Saccharomyces cerevisiae S288C: one gene and its partners. Changing the gene in region 3 together with the main gene of any one other region gives a genetic interaction. Each region holds a gene or a part of one and is shown on either strand. Other genes may lie near its edges. The genes, in order: HEM25, CRG1, JID1 and ALT2.

The links.
Region 1: mutations in JID1 (region 3) and HEM25 together harm fitness more than expected from each alone (negative genetic interaction), as found in Saccharomyces cerevisiae (2 studies listed by BioGRID).
Region 2: mutations in JID1 (region 3) and CRG1 together harm fitness more than expected from each alone (negative genetic interaction), as found in Saccharomyces cerevisiae (2 studies listed by BioGRID).
Region 4: mutations in JID1 (region 3) and ALT2 together harm fitness more than expected from each alone (negative genetic interaction), as found in Saccharomyces cerevisiae (2 studies listed by BioGRID).

The regions. Positions count from the first base shown.
Region 1 is NC_001136.10:245,324-249,372, forward strand, and holds HEM25 (Hem25p), read right to left. Parts: upstream 2,290-4,049; coding exon 1,366-2,289; downstream 1-1,365. Other genes in the region: EXP1 (Exp1p), read right to left, coding at 1-259; YFH1 (ferroxidase), read left to right, coding at 600-1,124; CYK3 (Cyk3p), read left to right, coding at 3,258-4,049. UniProt on the Saccharomyces cerevisiae protein: Mitochondrial glycine transporter that imports glycine into the mitochondrial matrix.
Region 2 is NC_001140.6:516,934-521,138, reverse strand, and holds CRG1 (S-adenosylmethionine-dependent methyltransferase), read right to left. Parts: upstream 1,703-4,205; coding exon 827-1,702; downstream 1-826. Other genes in the region: YHR210C (aldose 1-epimerase superfamily protein), read left to right, coding at 1-427; branched-chain-amino-acid transaminase BAT1, read right to left, coding at 2,426-3,607. UniProt on the Saccharomyces cerevisiae protein: Probable S-adenosylmethionine-dependent methyltransferase which mediates cantharidin resistance.
Region 3 is NC_001148.4:675,127-679,054, reverse strand, and holds JID1 (Jid1p), read left to right. Parts: upstream 1-2,172; coding exon 2,173-3,078; downstream 3,079-3,928. Other genes in the region: YPR064W (uncharacterized protein), read right to left, coding at 1-104; YPR063C (uncharacterized protein), read left to right, coding at 735-775, 862-1,243; FCY1 (cytosine deaminase), read right to left, coding at 1,414-1,890; chorismate mutase ARO7, read left to right, coding at 3,424-3,928. UniProt on the Saccharomyces cerevisiae protein: Probable chaperone.
Region 4 is NC_001136.10:677,454-681,983, forward strand, and holds ALT2 (alanine transaminase ALT2), read right to left. Parts: upstream 2,312-4,530; coding exon 788-2,311; downstream 1-787. Other genes in the region: replication fork barrier binding protein FOB1, read left to right, coding at 1-349; PDS1 (securin), read right to left, coding at 3,043-4,164; YDR114C (uncharacterized protein), read right to left, coding at 4,471-4,530. UniProt on the Saccharomyces cerevisiae protein: Inactive alanine aminotransferase. Forms a catalytically active Schiff base with PLP, but lacks alanine transaminase activity, probably due to an altered structural conformation of the dimeric enzyme.

The DNA of each region.
Region 1 (4,049 bases), on a different chromosome or scaffold from region 3:
TTCTGGAAGCGGAAGAGGCACTTGCACTGTCATGGCCAAGGCTTTCCTCCGTGTCCTTCAGATCAAACTTTAATACATTGGTATGATCAAGTTTTTTTTTCAAATATTCCCTCTTACCAAGCTTACCAGTCGCTGACTGTGCTGTTGCAGACGATTTCGGTTTTGTTAGTTTGAATGTACCGATGCCAGAAAACAATGGCAACAATGCAATGAAAGCAATCACAATAATGAGAAGTAAAAAATAACCGTATAGATTCATGCTCCGGACTTATTGACTTAGGCACCGAGAACTTTAAGGGAATTCGTCCTTTTCTTTTACTAAACGTAGATCATGGGTGCTTGATTTAGAGATACAACTCATCGCACTTGACAAATTTCAAAAAACCGTATTCAGTGATCATATTTGAAAAGTCACGTTTCTTACAATGTCCACATAGCCCTATAGGATATGAGGGATTAGTAACCGTAAATGATCTCTTTGAATCGCATTTTTAATTGAAAGCAACCTCGCTTGAAGACACTTACAAATCGTTACGTACTACTGAATACCAGAAAGATAGTATTTCAAAAAAAACTAAGCGAGAAGATAGAGTGTAGCAATGATTAAGCGGTCTCTCGCAAGTTTAGTTCGAGTCAGCTCTGTAATGGGCAGAAGATATATGATAGCAGCGGCAGGAGGAGAACGTGCCAGATTTTGTCCAGCTGTAACAAATAAAAAGAATCATACTGTAAATACTTTTCAGAAGAGATTTGTAGAATCCTCGACAGATGGTCAAGTTGTGCCTCAAGAAGTGTTAAACTTACCGCTTGAAAAATACCATGAAGAGGCAGATGACTACCTAGACCATTTACTAGATAGCTTAGAAGAACTGAGTGAGGCTCATCCGGATTGTATACCTGATGTAGAGCTAAGCCATGGCGTAATGACATTGGAAATTCCAGCTTTTGGAACGTATGTAATAAACAAACAGCCTCCAAATAAGCAAATTTGGTTGGCATCACCATTGTCCGGGCCTAACAGATTTGACCTTCTCAATGGGGAGTGGGTTTCGTTAAGAAATGGCACAAAGCTAACAGATATACTTACTGAAGAAGTTGAGAAGGCCATTTCTAAAAGCCAATAAGTGCACTTATCCATCGACTCTCTTATATTTATTTAAACACTTGTAACGCATCCAATCTATTTCATAGTTAGAGTCTCTCTTCCTTGTTATTGATATGATTTTTCTTTTGTACCGTGTGTGTATGTATGTATGTATGAACGTACTACTAAGCTTCAACGTCACTCTATAAAGAAACTAAAAAGACACGTATTTATACCTTTTTTGAAGAATGCGAGATTGCAATGAAATATGTGTCTATTTTTTACATGAATCTTTTGACCAACTCCTCATATATACCCCACGCAATACCTGCACTGAAGGCCTTTCTTGCCAGCCTCATGCTTAACCCGCTAAATAACTTCAGCACATTTTCATTTTTAACTATAGATGTAAATGTATTGAAGGAGTTGGTAAATTTTGATGGTTCCAATTGCATTCTCGTTTTTATGGTGTCGAACGGTGCCGTTACTGTGGTGGCTAAACTGGCGGATAGTACGGCGCTTGTTGTATTTACTGTTGTAGAGGTATAAGTAGTAAATCCTCCCTCAGGATTGTAATGTATAAACCTAGAAGGTAATACCATGGGCAGTAATTGTTTCGATTTTTCATATAGCAGCACATACAAACCTGCATAGGGAGCGTCTCTTAAACAAGTAGCTCCAAACCCTCTGAAAAATCCAAAAAGTCCTTCCTTAGTATATATATGGGTAATTGCCTCCTTTAAACTGGAGTAATTGTACAGAGTAGACTCATAACGGACTTTAATGACGGTGATAGGCATGGTTATATAACCTACCAAACCTCTTGCAAATGCACCTGTTAGTAAATTTTCATACATCGTTAATCGTGGTAAGCTACTGCTCTTGTTATATACAATGTTTGAATCGTTTGTTAATGAAGGCACAGCATTCCTCCTCTTTGCCAAAGATGAGCGCATAAGGTTCAAACATGATAAATATAAGGCGCTGCCTATTGATGTTCGTAATGCTGAAGGTAATGTACCTCTCCATAGCTGTAGAGGGCTGTCTATCTCTTTCAAATTTTTCCATAATGTAGCTTTCTTGTCTTGCTGGATTCTCGTCTTCAAAAGGTCTAAAGGTTGCAACGCAACAGCAGATGTTAGCCCACCGAAAAAGCCCCCGATCAAATGCGATGAATTTCTTGGCTTAGTTGCTTGCTCAGTCATGTATGCTGCTTCACAAATTGTGTACCTTCTAGTTGTTCCCGCTGTGCTATTTGCTTTTCTTTTGGTATAAGCTTATCCTTTTACTTCAATCACCCCCTCGTGAGAATTTAATGTGGAAGCAATATACTACTACACCGTTGACTTGGAGATTTTCAAGCTCAATTTTGCGTTCACTCAAATCTAAGTCATTTGAAACAAACACAACTTCTAAATATAGCAAGAGAAATAGGTCAATAACGCAGACACATATTTAACATTTAAGATACTGATAGATATTCAAAAGGAAACAGTCACCACAAGCGTTGGAGATTCAGCAAAACCCAAAAAGCAAGAAATTACAAAATCATTGTCTCGCTGATGAAACACCATCCTTTAGTGTTTGTATCCATTCAGCGTACCCTCTTGTTCTTGAGACTGGTGAATTTCGTAACTAGTTGAATATTGCAGGGTTTTCTTTTTCTAAATATGTATTAATGGTGGTGCCTGTCAGGGCGCGATAGAAGTGAAAAATTCTCGAATGGCTGGTTTGGTGGCCATTGAGCTGATCTGAAAAGGATGGTGAGATCAAGCTTGATATCTTGCATGCTTGGACCAACTATTTAAAATAAGTATTGAAAAAGGAGAATTTAGTTTCATTTACTCTCTACAATTGGATATTATACAGTTAAAACAAGAGAAAAGGCCAAAATTAACGGGACTCTGTTTGCATAACATATCTATAATATCAGTTTGATCTACTGCTGTTAAACTAATTTTTCTTTCTTCTGATTTCACTTCGTCCTTAATATTTTAACACATTAACTGTTTGCTATAAGCATACATTGCTTTTACCACTTTTTTTAATAATATCTTTTTATCCGTATTAATTACCGCATATAATTTTAGTTCGAAACATTAAAGGTCAGTCCCGAAGTTATAATTATAACATTTAATTCCTGAATTTACCGTATTACATTTAAATTTGCATAATGGCCACTAACTTAACATCTTTGAAGCCACCATTTAAGGTGAAGGCCAGGTATGGTTGGTCGGGCCAAACTAAAGGCGACTTAGGCTTTCTGGAGGGAGATATTATGGAAGTCACAAGGATTGCCGGTTCTTGGTTCTACGGCAAGTTATTGAGAAACAAAAAATGTTCTGGGTATTTTCCTCATAACTTCGTCATACTATTAGAGGAGAGATTAAATTCGAGCACTGAAAATGGTAGGCAACCTTCAAAAATAGTAGAAAGTTTTGAAAAATCAAATAAAGTTGTTATTCCACCAGTACCATCAAGGTATTCTGACGAGAGGCCAAGGCCTAAAAAGAAGCTATCTTCATCAATGCCCAATTCACCCAAGAAGCCGGTAGATTCTTTGACAAAGGCTAGAAAGGCAAAATCAAAAGAAATGGTAAATGAAAAAAATATCTATAATACCCAATCCTCTCGACATCATAATAACTCAGCTCCAAATTTACCTTTGGCTAGCCATAGTAAGCCTCAAGTACGAAATTTCGAGGAGTCCATGAACAATCCGTTACCACCTCTACCGCCACTACCAGATTTGGACAATATGAGAAAGACAGATAAAAGGGCACCAAAGAAATCATATTCTGCAAACGATTTACATATGGCACGTTCTTCAAGAGAATATAACTATTACAAAGACAACCAGAAATTCTATGATGGGTTTATCCCAGAAAAGAGATATTCTTTAGAAGAGGACTCTATTTCATCAGGCCTGTTTTCAAACTCTCAGTACTTAAATGATTCTGCTTGT
Region 2 (4,205 bases), on a different chromosome or scaffold from region 3:
ATCATTGGAAGTAAGCGAAGGAGCACTAATTCCAACCGGTAAAATCGTTCAAAGAAAAATTGCTACTTTTGACTCCTCCAAACCTACCATTCTGCAGGATGATGGCCCGATTTATGACTACGCTTTCATTGTTGATGAAAATAAGAATTTGAAAACGACAGACTCAGTAAGTGTAAACAAGCTCGTCCCTGCCTTCAAGGCTTATCATCCGGCATCACGACTTTCATTGGAGGTTTCAACAACAGAACCAACTGTCCTATTTTACACAGGTGACAACTTGTGTGATGGATTTACGCCGAGATCTGGCTTTGCCGTTGAACAAGGCAGATATGTTGACGCAATCAACCGTGATGGATGGAGAGACTGCGTTCTTTTGAGACGTGGTGAGGTATATACTTCTAAGACTCGATATCGTTTTGCGGTGTAGGCACCAAATTTAGTTGTTTACTTTGCACTGTCGCATTATTTTTCTATAAATTGAGCTTTTTATAATGAGATATGATCCGGAAACAGCTTTCTGAAGTGCATATGTTATAGTTAATATTAAGAATTTTTTGAGACTTTATTATGTTACCATGATTGCATTATCTTTTAATGTTAACAGTAACAAGTTTACGTATCGCTTTAAAACATAATTACATTCAGAGGTCGGAATTTAGAGCCAATAAAATTTTTAGAGCATATGTTGACGGTTTTAAATTACTCCCAACTGCGCAACAACACCTTATTTTCTTTTTGCCATATTTTAATATTTATTAGCATTTGGGAAATATTTAAAAAAAGAAAAAAATCAGCTTTTTATATATTTCTTTTAATTTAGTAAACCTCATTCTCTTTTCCTACATAAGTAATAAAACGTTGACCACTCTATTTTTAAAGGTACATTCAAATCTTCACAATGACAGATTTCTTTGAGCTCGTTAATGAATATATCGGCAATATCCGGTTTCGAGGGATTATCTCTAGCCCAAGAAGTGTATATGCTCCAGCTTTTCACAAACTCTTTAAATTGATTGAGAGTAATAGCTGCTCTCCAGAGAAACTGACTGTTTTCAGCCGTTACTGTTGATGCATTTGGGTCCGAAGGACTGTAAATTGTGACTTCAATATCTCCAAATCGATCTGACAATAAAGAACGTAGCTTTTCACCACCGTAATTCAACAAAATTTCCCGTTGGTTGTCGTTCAGATATTTACCCATATAATCCTTGCTCCATCCATATTTGTAATATACATTCAAGGCTTCGGGAAAGTCCACAAATTCCGGCTGAATATAAAACCAGAATGCAAAAGTTCCATCACTTCGTAATATAGAGGAAACCTGCTGAAACAGCCTTTCTAAATTGCACCAATGGATGGCTTCTGCTGAAATAACCATATCTACACTTTCTGGTCGAATGCTGGATAAATCTTCACCAGGCGCATTAATAAATCTAATCTTTTTATCTAATCTACGTTCATTTGTTTCTTTCTCAGCAATCGAAAGCATAGCAGAAGAAGGATCAATCCCAATCACTTCCTTAAAATAGGGTTCAACGACAAAAGTTGCTTTTCCTGTGCCACATCCAATATCAACCAAACTTTTGCGTGTGCCTTTGTGAAATTTCATTATCTCATTGACTAAAGATAAAGGGTAAGAGGGACGTACGTTATTATAGTGAGCAGATTCAAAATTTTTGTTTAAATAACTAGTTTTAGGCATTCTGGATTCTTCCATTGACAGAAGACTGGCTTTGAAGATGTACTGAGTGTAAAAGGGTTAACTTGAATTTGCCCCTTTAGTTCGTGCCGTTTGTTTATGTTTATATACGTTCCCTTGGGGCCGCTAATTAGAATGCTAAATATAGATCGTGGAAAACTTTCACTACAAAGCTTCTCGTTGTTGTGTTGGCTGAACATATACTAATGAACTGTTTAAATCAGGATTATGGACCGGTGAGGGAACATAATCATCTCTTCATGCCTGAACCTGTATGCCACGATGATGGAAGGCATACCATTATTCATACTGTACTTGCACCTCTTCTGAACTACGCTAGAATTTATTCTTCAGAAAATACCAGGGATATCCTTATAGATTTTTTTTTTTTGGCATAATCAACTCTCTTGGGTATCTTGCCGCATTCATTTTACATGTAAAGTCCAGCGAGATACCTTGGCAACTAAATTACAAGCAGTCTCTATGAAATTCAATAATGTGCCAAGTTGTTAGGTCAACAATTTCAAAAAGCGTAAGAAGCCGCACAATGGCTTGCATAAGCTATAATAATAATAGTAATCCAATATTTCTTATAATAAATAAACTCAACAGGAATTGTAAAAAAGTATGTATCTATGTGAATAAAGTGAGAGAAAAACAGATCCTCTGAGAGGAATTCTCGTTTTTTTTTTTTGGGGGGGGAGGGGATGTTTACCTTCATTATCATTAGTTCAAGTCGGCAACAGTTTTTGACCAGTTACCATAATTGACTCTACCGTATTGGATATCAGCAATCCATTGAGCAACTTGCTTGGTCAATGCACCACATTGTTCACCAGGCAATAGTGGAACATGAATATCTTCGTTGTTCCAGCCAATTTCCTTGATAGGTGAAACGACAGCAGCAGTACCAGAACCGAAGGCTTCTAATAGTTCACCTTGTTTTGCTCTAGTGGCGACTTCAGTAATAGTGTAATAACGCTCGTTGATGTCCCATTCTTGAGGATCTAGTTTGTCACGAGCCAATGTTAAAACAGAGTCTCTGGTAACACCTTCTAAAATGGTACCATCTAATGGAGCGGTAACCAATTCCTTCTTGCCAGTGACTTTGTTGAGGAAAACGAAGAACACGTTCATAGTACCAACCTCAGTGATGTTCTTTTCTGGGCCGAACAACCATAGATTTTGTTGGTACCCTCTTTTGGCAGCTTGTAGTTGAGGTAAGATGCATGGGGCATAGTTAGCACCCAATTTTTTGTCGCCAACACCACCTGGCCAAGCTCTTGTAGCATAGTCTGTTGCTTCAAGACGTACGGCTTTGAAACCAGTCTTATAATAAGGACCGACTGGAGAAGTAATAACATAAAGAAGAGCCTCGGAGGGAGTGCCAACACCTAAACCCTTGGATGTACCAATCATTGTTGGTCTGATGTATAATGAGTAACCATTACCTTGAGGAACCAAGTGTTTATCTTGTTCGATCAATTTCCCGGTAAGTTTGATCAATTCTTCAGATTCGAAAGTTGGCAAACAAATTCTAGCGGCAGACTTGTTCATACGGGCCATGTTCTTATCCGGACGGAACATGGTGATAGTATTTTGAGGAGTTCTGTAGGCTTTCAAACCTTCAAATAATTCAAATGCATAATGGAATACACAAGCAGATGGGTCAAGAGAAAGATTACCGTAAGGCTTGATGTGTGGAGTGCCCCACCCTTCTTTGGCTGACCAAGGAATGGTCAACATATGATCGGTGAATGTCTGGCCGAACACTAATTCTTCATTTGGTCTTGGCTTGGATGGATTTGGGTTTCTAGTAATTTTTAGTTTGGATGCATCTAATGGGGCACCAGTAGCGAGTGTTCTGATGGAGAATTTCCCCAACTTCAAGGAATGTCTCTGCAACATGTTTTAGTATGCTAAGGTTCTAGCTGATTTTGCGTTTATAGGGTGATTTATTCTAACGAAAACATGTAGTTGTTACCACTAGCTCTCTTTATAGTGCCATTTTTTTCAGATGCTTTTTTTTTTTCAAAGCTTAAAGGCCGGTACCGGCAAACACAATAGAATTTTGAGTCATAAGAAGGCAATATGGATCGGATGGGCCATTAAACAAAAAGAGAGCCAATTCATCAGTAATAATAGCGACAGCCGGTATGAAATCTGCACAAAGTATCAACCGCCTGGCCTCTATCAGTAAGATCATTCAATCAACCGTACACGCGGTACTTATCCAGCGTTAACATTTACGCTTTACAGTTCAGCTAAAAAAGAACACATTATCTAGTTAATGCCTGGGAAGGCCCTGGCAAGATACACTTTATCTAAATTATCTACTGCTCGCAAGGCAATGCTATCAATTTGAGAAGTGCAGAAGGAAATGCCATCAAGCTTGTGGTGCGCATTTCACTTTTAAGGATAATAACAGAATTTAATGGCTTGATATGGACGGGCGGTTTGCGAGCCTTACTATTGATAGGAGTATTCGTCAAGTCCAGGGCGCCAA
Region 3 (3,928 bases):
GCCTGCACCTGGGTTGCTCTAAACGGGAACAAGAGCCGGTTCCGATAACCGCACACTATTATTTCTAATCCCTCTACGTAATTGCTAAGCACACATGACTTCATACTTGCGTCACCCCGATTTTATTATTCCCTCCGGTTAAGCAAACGCCGCACCCCTGAGTCCGCCAGACCGGCCGCAAGAGAACGCAGTGTGTGTTCCTGTCTCTTTGCACGAACAAAGGAGATAGGACGGCACCCAGGCTCGCTAGGCGGCTACATGACTAAATGCCCAAGTTTCGTGCATTATGTAGAAGAAAATAGACGTCTGTGTAATCATTTCTTGAAGCAAAGCAATATTTGCAGGTTGAATGTAGGTCAACTGCATACTGGGAAGCGTTTTCTGACCGCTTCGGAAGCGTGAGCGGTCCGTCTCTTACAACTCGTTTGGAGCTACATGGTGAGACAACATTGGCGCGCACGCCAATGTTGTCCTTCTCAATGGCCATGCAAACACTGCTATTTTATCGATAACTGTTGTGATCTTGGCTTAGTTCTTGTGCTTTTTACACCCCGCAGTAGCGCTAGTTGTATGATTGCGGTTATCTGTCGCTTCTGTTCTCGTAACGCGCAACATGGAAGAAAAAATACTGAAAAATAATTTTAACAAAAGCTTGAGCAGAATGGGCATGGTACAACATCCATAGGCAAAAAAAAGGAATACATATACTCCGCTGCTACCTCCTCAACTAAACAATGACTTTGAATAACGTTGCAAGGCCCGACCTTTGTGTTTCGTATGTTTTTCACCGACAATTTTCTTTCAAATTTGCTGATATTGCCAATATATACTAACAGTTCAACCGCTCCCTTTCTACCACAGGTACAAGAAAATTGCGCCACCAAAAGGACTATATTCTGCCACACCAAGCATATCTGGTGTGGTTAACCAATCCATGCCTATGGCCGCTATTTTCTTGAGGAACAAGTTCATTGCCTGGTTCTCCCTGATTCAGAGTGTACACTACTACCTGAACACCGACGAAGACATCATCGTTGCCTATAAGGAAAATAAGGCACCATCTCCAATGGACCAGCCTCCTGCAATCAAGCTATTCATGAGTTTAATCGGGTTATGCGTGTGTTACATGAACTTAGTTTTCCCTCAACAAATAGCTCAACCATCGTCTAGCGGCTCTAAAGGTAATACTGAAACGACAATTGAGACAACTACCGAAGTAGAGACGGAAACAGCTAAGCAGTAGGCTTATCCTATCCTCTATTTCCGCCCTGCCCCATCAAAAGGAAGGAAAAAATAGTAAATACGGGACTTCCTGTGTCGTTTTTTCATTTCCTAGGTTTTTTTCAAGTCTTCCCTAGTAGTGTATGCACAAATATATAAAATTAAATACGTAAATACAGCGTGCTGCGTGCTCTACTCACCAATATCTTCAAACCAATCCTGAGGTCTTTCATCGATAAATTGTTTCATGATCTTTTTACACCTCTCATCGTCAACAACAACAACCTCGTGACCTCTAGTTTGTAAATATTTCTCGCCCTTACTTTTGAAATTAACGTTCTCACCGACAACACAGCGTGGAATACCATACATGATGATGGCACCTGTACACATGTCGCATGGAGACAGCGTCGTATACAAAGTGGTATCTTTGTACACTTTGCCCTCTAATCTCCCACAGTTTTCCAAAGTGGAGATCTCACCATGTAGTGTGGCGGATCCCTTTTGAAATCTCATGTTGTGACCACGACCGAGAACACTTCCGTCTTTGTTATTGATAAGACATCCGCCAATAGGAACACCACCCTCTTTGTAACCTAAGGCCGCCTCCTCATAGGCAATGTCCATACCCTTCTGATCCCACTTGCTTGCCATTCCCCCTGTCACCATTAGCTATGAAATTTTTAACTCTTTAAGCTGGCTCTCATCAACATAAAACAATGGCTTGTAGATCTCATTGTCGAATTGAAAATGAACTTTTTAATTTCGCAAAAAAAAAAAGAAAAGTTCAGGGTCTCCGGGTACTACCGCCCCTGCAAGGAATGACCGGTGATAATGGAAGAGAAGATATTACAGCGACAGTATAATTAACAAACACGTTGTGTCTTTAGGCTCGTAACTAACTGTACGTATATCTACACACCATAGGTCACTACTTGCAATATATTTGTTATGCTACACCATAAGTTCGTATACCCATTTTTATTCAAGTGGCACTTATCATGTGTAGAAAAGTGTCCCCCACAAATCACTTTTATAGCTAAGTATGCTACAGCGAACGATAAAAATGGCAATAGAAAACTTACGATAAGGGATGAACAATGGCCTGAGTTGGCAGATCCAACTCCCTATGATATTTTTGGCATTCCAAAGGCCGGATCTGGAAATCCTAAACTGGACAAGAAGTCGTTAAAAAAAAAATATCATCGTTATGTAAAATTGTACCACCCTGACCATTCCGATAACATTCAAATATTTAGCTCAGAAAAGGTTACCAACAGTGATAGTAAATCACCGCTGCTGCTAACATCAAGCGAAAAACTACATAGATTTAAAGTCATCTCTCAAGCATATGATATTCTTTGTGACCCAAAGAAAAAGATCGTATATGACACAACGAGGCAAGGCTGGACCACATCGTATTCACCACGTTCTAACGTTAATACTGAAAATTACCAATATGCCGGCTCTTATGGCTACCACTCTAACGCGCAGTATGAATACTGGAACGCTGGGACTTGGGAAGACGCAAATAGCATGAAAAACGAAAGAATTCAAGAAAACATCAACCCATGGACCGTTATTGGCATAATTTGTGGCCTAGCTATATGCATCGAAGGGACTGCGTTGTTAGCCAAAATCCAGGAGTCTCTGAGCAAGGCCGAATTTACTCATGACGAAAGTGGATTACATTTGATTCAGTCATACACGAATTATGGTCTTGATACTGACAAATTTTCCAGATTGAGGCGGTTCTTATGGTTTAGAACTTGGGGACTTTACAAGTCGAAAGAGGATTTAGATAGAGAAGCCAAGATCAATGAAGAAATGATACGCAAACTGAAAGCAGCTAAATGAAATCACCTATTGCGCCGCTCGCGGAATACAATTACTAAATTTTATATATATTCTTTAAAAATGCATCTATACATTCGTTTTTCCACGTATACCAAATTCGAAAAAAGTTGTTAAACCATCGTTTTCACGTTTTTTAATTTTTTTTTGGTTCTCTTTTTTTTTTTTTTTCAATATCAACTTTTTTTCAAACTTCGTGTTGCATTTCCTTTATCGTAAATTTTCAATGGATCTCTATAATCTTCGAAGTTCGAAGAAAAGAAGAAAAAAAGTATTGAAAAGTTGAAACATCGATTCCGTTTTGCTAACAAATAGCACTCAGCATCCTGCATAAAATTGGTATAAGATATGGATTTCACAAAACCAGAAACTGTTTTAAATCTACAAAATATTAGAGATGAATTAGTTAGAATGGAGGATTCGATCATCTTCAAATTTATTGAGAGGTCGCATTTCGCCACATGTCCTTCAGTTTATGAGGCAAACCATCCAGGTTTAGAAATTCCGAATTTTAAAGGATCTTTCTTGGATTGGGCTCTTTCAAATCTTGAAATTGCGCATTCTCGCATCAGAAGATTCGAATCACCTGATGAAACTCCCTTCTTTCCTGACAAGATTCAGAAATCATTCTTACCGAGCATTAACTACCCACAAATTTTGGCGCCTTATGCCCCAGAAGTTAATTACAATGATAAAATAAAAAAAGTTTATATTGAAAAGATTATACCATTAATTTCGAAAAGAGATGGTGATGATAAGAATAACTTCGGTTCTGTTGCCACTAGAGATATAGAATGTTTGCAAAGCTTGAGTAGGAGAATCCACTTTGGCAAGTTTGTTGCTGAAGCCAAGT
Region 4 (4,530 bases), on a different chromosome or scaffold from region 3:
AACTGAAAAAAACTATATCGATGAGTATGATGATTTGGCACATGATTCTTCAGAGGGCGAATTTGAACCTAATACCTTAACTCCCGAAGAAAAGCCTCCTCATAATGTCGATGAGGACCGAATAGAGTCCACCGGCGTGGCAGCCCCAATGCAGGGAACAGAAGAGCCTGAAAAAGGGGATCAAAAAGAAAGTGACGGTGCATCACAAGTAGATCAAAGTGTCGAAATAACTAGACCAGAAACTTCCTACTATCAAACTCTGGAATCGCCGTCAACAAAACGACAGAAATTAGACCAACAGGGTAATGGAGATCAAACAAGAGACTTTGGCACATCAATGGAATTGTAATAATATGTAGGATAGAATGAAAGGAGGAGTCACCATAGGTGAAAAAAAAAAGCACCTATTGCATATAAAGTATTCAAAAAGGTGTTGAAAGCTCTTCCTGTATATGACCCTGTATTTAATGTACGCGGTTAAAAAATTTTTATATTTTTAAATAAGTATCAACTTGGATAATATGATCTTGCCCGCAAGGTGGTTTTATATGAATAATTACTTTTTTTTTTTTTTTTTTTTTTTTTTTTTTTTTTTAATTGAACAATAGATGCAGAGGAATGCTCCAAAATTTATTTCCTTGAACAATATTACAAGAGGCAGATATATACTTTTCCTTATTTCCCTTAGTAAAGAATGATGCATGTATACTATTACAAATTTAAACTTCACCCCCACCATGGATGCAAAACAAATAGAAAGCCATTATCATTAGTTTTTTTTTTTCATTCAATTACGATACTTGCTGAAGAAATCTTGATGAAATTCTTTCCAGTCTTGAATCCATTTAGTCCCTGGAGCCAAAAACGTTGTTCGCACATGATAAGTCCCGGGTCTTTGTCCGAACCCAGACCCTGGGACAGTACAAATACCTGTAGATTCTAGCAAAGATGTGCAATAGAACTCATCAGGTTCGATGCCAAGGCGTTCGCTTTCACAAAGAGCTTTCTTAGGTAAAACAAGCCTAGGGAAAAGATACATTGCACCCTGAGGTTTTTGGCATTCGATACCCTCTAGTTCCTTAAACGTCTCGTACAATAAGTTTGCTCTCGTACGCATTTCATGAAAAATTTTCAGCCTTTCGTCATGATCTTGTTCATAGGACTCGTCTCCAGGCTGGGGTGGTTTGACCATTAAATCAACCACAGCTTGTCCTGTGACAACAGAACATATGGATATAGACATGAGTTTGAAAAGAGCATCTCTTATTTCTTGAGAAAACCCAATAATTTCCATGTAACCGCCTCTTTGGCCGCACTCATCCATGAATCCTTTAGAAATGGAGTGTAAAGAGGCGAGCTGAACGTTATCGAATTTTCCTGGATAAAGATGCTGCAATTTTCTTAGGACTTTCTTCATCGAATGAAATTTAACATCGTTGAAAATGTTTTCTTGATAGACCTCATCAGAAATGATTGTAATGCCGTATTTCGCAGCGATCAAACAGATCCTGGCAATGGTTTCTTCAGAAAGAACTGCACCGGTTGGGTTACCTGGATTAATAACTATCAGCACAGATGGTCTGATCTGTTTTTTCAAAGCATCTTGCACTACTTTTTCAATTTCGTCGCTGTTTGTAGACCAATTTGACTCCTCATCTAAGTAGTATGGCAGCACTTGTGCATTGAAAAGAGATGCGGATGCAGTATAAAGCGGATACTGCGGAATTGGAATCAGCAGGCCTGTTTGAGAATCTTTACACAATAAAGATAACAAAGAAGTTGCCGCGGACGAAGCGCCAGTGGTTAAATAAATATCTTCCGGTGTAGCGGGCTCACCGCCGTCTCTTCTAGTAATGAAGTCAGCAACTGTTTGCCTTATTCCTGGCACACCTTGAGAATGCGAATATGCCCCTATAGAACCGCCAATATCATTCAAGAGGCGCTCAGCTCTTTCCAAGGCGTCCCTGGAAAACAAGTTCAAAGAAGCCAGTTCATTATGGCCTACTCGTAAAATTTCCGGGTACTCCAGGATGGCCAGTACTTGCCTGGTAAAGGTCAAAGGCTTCTGATCCAGTTGCTGCGGATTACCAATGTTCGCATTGATAATATCATCGAAAGGCAAAACTTCTGGGTTTTTTTTCAATTCCTCTTTTAGCTCGTCAGCTCTGGTTGGAATAGCTCCTCTTACAGCATATTCTGCCTTAGTGACACCTGTATTCAAATCTTTTTTAGTAATCTTGCCAGCGGGCTTAAAATCCAAATCCTTTGCGGTGAACACACCTTTCAAATCCTGTTGGTGTGTCATTGTCATGTGTTCTTACTTCTTCTGTGTTTACCACTTACAAAAACAACACTACTGTGGCGCTCCTTCCCTTTATTCTTATCTTTTATGCCTCTAGAGATATGAGGAAATATTGGGGTATTTACTGAATGAGAAAAGGATGATGTCAGTCAAGAAAGGATCAAAAAGAAAAGTGAACAGAATATAGTTCCCACACGAAGTAGTAAATTTAGCTATCCTAAAAGTGTATTGGTAATTTGAAGAGATATGTAGATGTACATATGGGACCATAAGAGTAGGAAAAATAAAATAAAATCGCCAAACAAGTAGGAGAAGCCTCAAGATACAAGCCGTTTCCATGGAGAAAATATTGCGAATGAGGCCAAACTTGAACTTTTTTTTTTTCTGCTAAAAAATTCAGAAAAAAAATGAAATTATTTTCTTAGGTATAATGAAGTAATTATGACGAAGTACTTTGAGAACCCATAAAGAGAAGCAATTGAAGACGTGTGGAGGACATCAGCCCGCAGCACATTAGTAGAAACAATAGTATCGTGATGTGATCCCTCTTGGACCCTTTGCCAATCAAGGGTGAAGCGAAGCCATTTAAAACGTACGAACAATGGCGGTAGTTGAGGTATGGGTGAGGCCGCAGATTAAATCCCGGCGGCAGGAGCAACCGCTTTTAACCAGAATTGTATGTTATAAAGTATCTGTATATACGTGTATATATGTTGTGTGTATGTGAATGAGCAGTGGATCTAAGTAACTAAGTCCTCTAGTTCTTCAGGATCGAGGCCTTCTTCGCTGTACACTAACTCCATGGTTGGGACGGCGGCAACTTCTTTGAAGTTCTTAGACAGCAGTGGTAACGCTGCACCTTCTTCTTGATTCCGAGTGATGCACTCAGTCTCATCTTTTTCGCCTTCTTCATCAATTTGTTCTAGTGGGAGTAAATCAACTTTATCTGGGGTGTCATCTTCGTCTTCCAAGTCAAGCTTATATGGTGAGTTGAACGTCTTCAGCTTTTCAATATCATCTTGTTGAAATGGGGAATAGCCTTCTGGTACATACGGTAACGGCTCCTGCCTCTGTGGTGCTATTTCGATATCATAGTCATCAGTTTTATCACTTTTATCGTTTTTAGTTTTTTGCTCATTCTTCGTGGAGTTCTTTATGAGTTGTTGCAGACCACCTTGCTCATTAAATAGTCCTAGGCCACCATTTAATTCATTTTCACCGTCGGAGGAATCCTGTTTTAAAAGTGCACTTTGGAGTTTTTTGCCAAGTTTACTCTCGGAATCTTCATTACCTTCATCATCGTCGGAACTCTCTTCATTTTTACCTGAATCTGCAAGATCTTTTAAAACTAGACTTTTCATTTTAGGTAAAGCATTATAACCAAGGACAGAACCGTACTTTTGTAACTTTCTTGAATTGCTTAACAAATCATTATGGTTGGCCCTACTACGACTGCGAGAAATTTGCGAAAGTTTCCTGAGTTGGTCGTTTTTGCGTATAGATAGTGTATTCTGTAGTTGTGGTAAGTCTGCATCTTTACTCTGATTAGAAGTTTCGGGAAAAATAAAGCTTTTCGATCTATTGTTGTCTTTTGCTGCCAGAGGCAATCTTCCTTGTTGTTGCGCATGGGTATGCAACCTTTTTGTGGGTGACACCTCCTTCCCTCCTTGTATGTACTTTAATGTGTTGCCATTGTTGCTGTTCGCATCCCTTTTGAGTTGGTCCAATCTTACAGGTGGTTTTAAAATATTAGAGTGCGACCTTTTCAGCAAGTGAGCCGGCGTCTGTGGAAAGTTAATGCCGGAACTTTCATTCCCTGTATATACGATATTATTCTCTTTATCTTCGTTAGCTGGCATCATAAAGGTTTATTATCTAGCACTTAATCTAGCTTGGTACCGCAGAAGTGTAATAGTATGTGAATGGGAAAAACCGCTAGCAACCGTTACTTGCCTTCGCCGAATATTGATTTAAAGCTGCATTTATTTTGTTTGTTTATTTTGTTTGTTTTTCTTTTTGACCTCTTACACGAGTTTTTTGACGCGTTTGAGATCTTTGTGTGAAAACGATAAGCAACCTACGCTAACAAATACACACGTCGCACGGAAAGTGATAGTGAAGCAGATATTTCTCGCAAATCCTATGTTATCCGTAAAATAAATCCAACCCTAAAGTATTAACATGTAACAACTTAAGCGCTTCCTTAAGACTGTATAGATATATATATA